2 linked regions of the Zea mays genome follow. The protein of the gene in region 2 binds, or shares a complex with, the protein of the main gene of each other region. Links are inferred from orthologs where the notes say so. Each region holds a gene or a part of one and is shown on either strand. Other genes may lie near its edges. The genes, in order: Gamma-tubulin complex component 2-like and uncharacterized protein LOC100280166.

The links.
Region 1: uncharacterized protein LOC100280166 (region 2) and Gamma-tubulin complex component 2-like share a complex: the UniProt entries of both Arabidopsis thaliana proteins name them as parts of the gamma-tubulin complex. The link is inferred for Zea mays from reciprocal best matches to the Arabidopsis thaliana genes SPC98 and AT5G17410.

The regions. Positions count from the first base shown.
Region 1 is NC_050105.1:131,200,872-131,203,611, reverse strand, and holds the end of Gamma-tubulin complex component 2-like, read right to left. Parts: intron 2,656-2,740; coding exon 2,581-2,655; intron 2,490-2,580; coding exon 2,355-2,489; intron 2,272-2,354; coding exon 2,146-2,271; intron 2,061-2,145; coding exon 1,953-2,060; intron 1,821-1,952; coding exon 1,758-1,820; intron 1,654-1,757; coding exon 1,579-1,653; intron 1,433-1,578; coding exon 1,239-1,432; intron 1,148-1,238; coding exon 1,021-1,147; 3' UTR 757-1,020; downstream 1-756. UniProt on the Arabidopsis thaliana protein: Gamma-tubulin complex is necessary for microtubule nucleation at the microtubule organizing centers (MTOCs). Required for the positioning of the gamma-tubulin-containing complex on pre-existing microtubules and for the proper organization of cortical arrays.
Region 2 is NC_050102.1:128,663,167-128,667,610, forward strand, and holds uncharacterized protein LOC100280166, read left to right. Parts: upstream 1-1,623; 5' UTR 1,624-1,855; coding exon 1,856-3,150; intron 3,151-3,258; coding exon 3,259-3,508; 3' UTR 3,509-3,777; downstream 3,778-4,444. UniProt on the Arabidopsis thaliana protein: Gamma-tubulin complex is necessary for microtubule nucleation at the microtubule organizing centers (MTOCs). Required for the positioning of the gamma-tubulin-containing complex on pre-existing microtubules and for the proper organization of cortical arrays.

The sequences.
Region 1 (2,740 bases), on a different chromosome or scaffold from region 2:
TGGTGGACTGGTGGTGGGGCTCGGGTGGTGAGGGGAACACTGAAACAGTGGCGTGGGGGAGTGTGGGAAGTGAACTAACCGCGGATGGTTGGTGCGGAGGTAGAGCGCAAAAATGGCTAGTGCGCGCGGGGTCCCCGAGCGGATTTCCGGCAAACAACAGGGCCGCGAGAGGAGACTGGCATGCTGAGTCCAGAATCCTTGATTGAGCTTGGCAGCCTGCCACTACGCACTATCGTGCTGATTCGTGTGGAGGTGGACCCAACTTAAAGTTACCGCGCATGGACCGGATTTTAGAGAAGTCCAAGAGACTCGGTGAAGTGCCTTTGCTCGGTAAAAAAAATGAAAAGCGCCATGGCTTTCATACTCGCTTCTTCATCTGGCTCGGCATCACAGGTAGTGTTCTACAGCTGCATGTCACGACGACAGTCCTGGTGGCGGCAGGTGCAATAAGTGGATGTGAAAAGTTAAATTTAGAGAATCTGTTGGTTAACCCCACCTTGAAGAAGTTATCTATTTTAAAGAGTCGTCCATAAAACTCTATAATTGGCTAGGATTTATAACTAGACTCTTGGAGTTGCTTTATTTGGATTTCATCAACTTAAATTAGCTTAATAGCATGATATTTACTATTACATTACTGGCCGCTAACCAACTCTCGTGGAATACCAATGCCCAGTTCGATTCAAACCAAACACTTTTCCCACACACGTGGAAATGAACTCCACAAAGCTTACATCTGAGTCTCACAACACAACACAACACAACCACACATTGCTATTGTCAGATATCAACAGCACGAAATGCTGAGTCGCAGCTGATAAACACACAGCAAGGTTCGAGCTCAAGATAACAAGGCTCCCGACACCACCCTAGGGTCACTAAACGCGTCGTAGCTCCACATTAGCATTCACAAGAAACGGATATGCACCTACCTTGACTGCAGCGGCGCACATAGAGTATGGCATTGTGCCAAAAGTCCAAATGAAGGCAGGCAGGTATGGGTACGGCCCATCAAATAACTCATTGGCCGATTCGCACGCCAAGAATGCACTGTGCGAGATGAGTCACGTACGGCTCCGCTTGTGAACTGTTACTCAGCGTAGGAGCAAGACTCTGCAGCTCTGAATTGAACGCTGCTTCAAATTTCCTGCAGCCAGCCAAGACCAATGCGATGTTAGATGGGTGGAACTTAATTTAATACCAGCGTTTCAAGGGTAGATAGAGGAGCGGATACGTACAGGATCGACTCTGACATGACAACATTCTCTGATGCTAGTTTCAGCTGCTGGTCTCTGTCCTGTGATTTATCGATTCTTGATCTTGACTTCCTAGACTTCGATGTGTTCTCAGAGTTAGCGACATCGATAGATGGCATCAAGATCTGGATGGAAGTGGCATACTGAAGGCATAAACCTTTCAGCTTCTCGACTTTCTGTGAATGCAAATAAATAGAACAATGATAAGAATTGATTCTTTCAAAAAAAAATCTTGAATGGTACCAAGAAAAAGCTATCAACCAAAAGTTACTGTTTTATCTTCTTTTCTTTTAGTTTTAAGAGAAAGGGTAAAAGGACACACCACAAGGAGTTCAGGCGACAACAGCAAGCATTCTTTTAGACACTTCTGGAGGAAGAAATCATGGATCTGGATAACCTGCAAGCAGTATTAACATCAAAAGGTAAGGCATTCCGCACGGTTAGCATCGCAGTTTTTTTTTTGCAAAAAACACCCCAAATTGAAAAAAAGAAGTGCAAAACCTCATCTATGCTCCTTGCTGTTTGAAGGCGGTCATGCATCAGATGCCAATTTGGTTCAAGAACCTGGGACCAAATGAATAGTTTAGAACTTGCCCAACATGTATGGTTTACCTCAAACGTCAGACAATGCATGGTGTTATCTGTGGTTTAGCATGATCAAAAGAATAGTTTAGCATGCTGATATGTATGGTTTACCTCAAATGTTAGATAATGCAAAAGGCTATTTACAAACTTGAGCATGCTACGACAAAGAATTGATGACCGCAGAATTGGTGTCCCTAGAATCTTGACAGACCGGAATGCCTGTCCAAGAGTTAATATCCAGTCAAAGTTGGCGTACACAAAAATGTTAAACTGGTTTTGCAGGAGGAAAAGGGTTCATTCATACTTGTTGTATTTGCCATGCTGCACACAGCTGGCGACTAACATGCTTGCAGTGGAACAATAGGCGAAAGATCAATTGGTATTTTGTCAAAGCCTTCCTTGAAATTACAAGAGATAACGGCCACTGGACCTGCAGGGTACAACAAGTATATCATTTCACTATCACAAGACAAACATGAGGAAAGTTTTAAACAAACTATTAAAATAGAAAACCTTATTGCTAAGGCAGAATGTTTCCAAACCCGTGATGCTTAATTGCATTGATCGATCAACATCTGCTGCAGCAAGCTTATCTGCAGGATCCAAGTCCTTCAGAGTGGCCAGTTTCTTAAGGAGGGAACTCCTTTCCTGTTGAACGCAGATGTAAACAAAGATGATAAGCTTGCTGCAGTACTCCGTAAAACGCCATATAGTATGACCAGATCCAGATAATATTTACCACACAGCAGATTAATTCCTCATGGCTTGGATCTGAAGCAGCTGCAGTACTCCGTAAAGCAATGTCAAGCAGAGACTGCCGTATAAAATGGACAAAGAAAGCAGAAACAAAACCAAAGAAGCAGCAGCTTTTTCATAATCAGAGTTGACCAAAAAAATCT
Region 2 (4,444 bases):
GGTAGCTGTAAGCTGTAAGCTGTAAGCTGTTAAAAAGCTAAAAGCCGTTTGGTGGAAACTACTAAAAGTCGTTAAAAATTCTTCGACATATGTTTTCACAGTTCCATCCGAAAAGCCACTAAAAGCAGGTCCAGGGGTGCTTTCAGATTTGCACTACGAGAAAGTCGGCTTTTAGAAAAAACTGTTTTCTGAATCCAGCCCTTTGGTTGGATTTTGGCTTTTAGGAGGACAAAAGCCAAAGTCAAAAGTCAAACCAAACACACCCTAATAAATGTTTTCCTCGCATCTCTCTAGCTAAATCGATAAGGACCTGTTCATTTGAGCCGGAATTCACCCTAAGATTGATCCAATTGATCAAACCCTATATAAATTAGACAAAAAATCTGGCTAAGAATGGTTACAGATGACCATTTCTTAGGAACCGAACATGCCCTAAAGGTATAGGTTGGTATATCGTAAAATCAGAAAAAGCTACATATATTCTACCACGGCTACATATTTTAAGGACATAAAACCTATGTGTCCTAACAATATATAGAACATTAATGCGCAATTTCATTACTATAGATCCACTTCACAAGGAAATTAGAAGGATTCAAACACCATACTTGATAAAACTTTGTTGAGCTCGTCCTTTGGACATGTATGCCCCTAAATTTACAATAAATTAGTAAAGCAAGGTGTTATATTGGTATATTGTTTGAAATCTTGTCTCGGTTTATCCTACACCAGTCATGCCACACGGACGCTTTACGACGAGCCAAGCGGCTTGTAACCATTTTTTTCCTGTCACTCAGAACTAGCTATCGGCCTACCGCACCCGCAAAATTTCCCAAACCCCGCACACAATTGCCGGAACCCTAGCTCCACTCCATCCTCCCAGCCCGCACCAATGACGGACCAACAAACCCAGGATCTCGTCAAGGAGCTCGTCCACCGCCTCCTCTCCGCCGCCGAATCCGGCGGGCGCGGCGGCGGGCGCGACACGGGCGGTGCGCTGCGGTTCGCGCACCGAATCCTCTCCAGCCGCCTCGCCCCCGCGGTCCTCCCCGATGAGCACGCGCTCGCGGAGTCCATCAAGCGCCGCCTCGCCGCCTCGGGCCGCCCCGATGATGCGCTCTCATTCGCTGACCTCCACTCCAAGCTCTCCGTCCGTGCCCGCCCAGCGTCGCTGTGGCCGCTCCTCTACCTGCTCGACTCTCTCTCCTCGCAGTACCGCGCCGCCGCCGCGGCTTCGTGCCTCCCAAACCTTCCCATCGCCGCCCTACCGCAGAATGCCACCTCGGGGACGGCGCCGGGCGCCGGTGTCAGGCCGGGTTCGCGGACGCACGGGGCGCCGCCGGGCGGCCTGGTGCTGGTCTCCAAGGATCCGGACAACATCCGCGAGATCGCGCTGCGTGAGTACACCGAGCTGGTGATCGACGAGACGGAGGTGTCGGAGGCCGCGCTTGTGCGGGACGTGCTGTACGCGTGCCAGGGCATCGACGGCCGCTACGTGCGCTATGACAAGTCCGTGGACTCCTACGACCTTCCAGACGGTGTTCGAGTGCCGCGATCCACGCGCACCCTCGTTCGCAAGCTATGCGAGCTTGGCTGGCTGTTCAGCAAGGTGCGGGGCTTCATTTCTGACAACATAAGCCGCTCGCCCTCAGATGCTGCCACTGAGGTGGGCACTGTTACCCAGGCATTCTGCTCGGCGCTCCAGGAGGAGCTGTCTGATTATTATAAGCTGCTGGCTGTTCTGGAATCGTACTCATTGAATCCAATTCCCACACCTGGATCTGATTCAGGTGTGTCCAGTAATTACCTCTCACTGCGCCGTCTTGCAGTGTGGCTTGCTGAGCCTGCAGTGAGAATGCGCCTAATGGCTGTTCTGGTTGATGGATGCCGGGGACTGAGGGGTGGTGCTATGGCTGGTGTGATCCATGGGCACGCACAACACGGAGATCCTATGTTTCAGGAGTTTATGGGCCGATTACTGCGCCGGGTGTGCTCGCCGTTGTTTGAGATGGTCAGGAGCTGGGTGCTAGAAGGGGAATTGGAGGATGTATTTGCAGAGTTTTTTATCGTTGGGCAGCCAGTGAAAGCAGAATCTTTGTGGCGGGAGGGCTACCTTATTCAATCTGATATGCTTCCAGCTTTCATATCTCCAGTGCTCGCAAAACGGATTCTTAGAACTGGCAAGTCAATCAACTTTCTTAGAGTATGCTGTGACGATAGTGGCTGGGCTGATGCTGCTGCCGAGGCTGCTGCATATGTTGGCACTACAACATCTCGGGGTGGCCTTGGTTATGGGGAGACTGATGCTTTGGAGGCATTGGTGGTTGAGGCAGCCAAGAGGATTGATCGACATTTGATGGATGTCATTCATAAGCGGTACCGATTTAAGGACCACTGCCTTGCTATTAAGCGTTACTTGCTTCTTGGGCAGGGTGATTTTGTCCAGTATCTTATGGACGTTGTTGGCCCCGAGTTATCAGAGCCAGCAAATAGGATTAGCTCCTTCCAATTGGCTGGCTTGCTTGAGACTGCAATCCGAGCATCCAATGCACAATATGATGACTGTGATATCTTGGACCGGATAAAGGTAAAGATGATGGATCATGGGGATGGTGATCGTGGCTGGGATGTCTTCTCTTTGGAGTATGATGCTAGGGTCCCCCTGGACACTGTGTTCACAGCTTCAGTTATGAAGATGTATCTCAAGGTTTTCAACTTCTTGTGGAAGCTCAAACGCGTAGATCACTCCCTTACCGGAGTGTGGAAGACTATGAAACCTAACTGCATTGTTTCTTCTCCATTTTACAAGGAAGGAACAAGCATCAGAGCTCAATTTGTATCAGTTCTTCGTAAATGTCAAGTTCTATTCAATGAGATGAATCACTTTGTGACCAATTTCCAATACTACATTATGTTTGAGGTCCTGGAGGTTTCGTGGGCCCGTTTTTCTGATGAAATGGATGCAGCAAAGGATTTAGATGACCTTCTCTTAGCACACGATAAATATCTCAACTCGATACTGGAGAAGGCCCTGCTTGGTGAACATTCCCAAGGACTTTTGAGGAATCTGTTTGAACTGTTTGACATTATTTTACAGTTTCGAAGCCATGCTGATCGATGGTTTGAAAGGATATATGAGTTGCAGCTAAGGTTAGATTATTGCAGAATCAGATATTGTGATTCCATCTTTACTTTAAAGCTTATCTCATACCTACTGTTTGATTTACATTTTACTCCAATGTTTCATTTTTATTGCAGGGGAAAGGGTAAATCAAAATCAAAGGATACAGGTTCATGGTTTGATGGCGGCAGAAAAGCTATGATCCAACTAGCTGGAGAACTTTTCTGGAAAATGGGTGAAGACCTGGATAGCATCGCAAAGGATTATACAGCTTCTCTTGATGCTTTTATTACGCAGCTGCCCATGCAACAGCACGTCGATTTGAAGTTCCTTCTCTTCCGCCTTGACTTCACTGAATATTACAGTCGTGTTTCCTCCAACAAATGAATGTGAGCCGCTTATGTGAAAAACTAGGAGTTAGATTGATCGTTTGGTTGGGACTTGGAAAGCATTATTTTTATACCATATCCCATTAATTGATCTTGGTCGCTTGATTGGCAATGGTCACTTCCATTTTCCTTGCACCTCCTGTAGAAGAGGATCTGAATACCCTTTTACTGAGGATTGCCAATGCTACAATCTGGTGATTCTGTCAGCTGTTTGCATGCTGATGCTTATGTGCCGATTCAACGAGGCTAAAGCCACGCATTTCATGCAACTCTGTACACAATTGTAAGTTTGTTTTGATCTTGATTTTCATGGATGTTCTGGTGTAAATTTAATATTTATTTTTTCTCTATTAATTTCTTGAGAATTAAAGCTGGAGGTCTTGAAGATTTGTCCTTAACAGTTTGTATTGTCAGTTTTACAAGAGCAGATAACTCATTACATTGTTTTGATCTTGAAGTTTGGTTTAGAAATGTAATGTAAATAGCAACGGTAATGATTTACACTCGAGTATCGGTAATAATAAGCTAAAATAGAACAATATTAATTTTTAGTGTGGTATCCGATTACGGTAACGTTATCAGTTATCTATCACCAGTTATCTCTCACGTTACAAATACAAATATGTGAAGCAAACATCACCTCAGTGTCCATAAGCTAGTGACCTGCTTGGAGCATGATGCAACTGAATGGCCTGCTTGGAGCATGATGCAACTGAATGGATGCGGAAAAAGGAGACTTGAAGAAATCCGTGGGAATTTGCAGATGTTCAAGCTTTGTCAAATACAAAAAATTTGGTTAGTTTTGGGAGTGGTTGCTATTTCTTGTGCAAAATTGTGAGCAACGATCTTAAATTGAAACATTTGCATGTAGAGAAAATACTTGAGCGTTATATTGAATAAAACTAATTGTATAGCACCAACCGAGGATGAATGG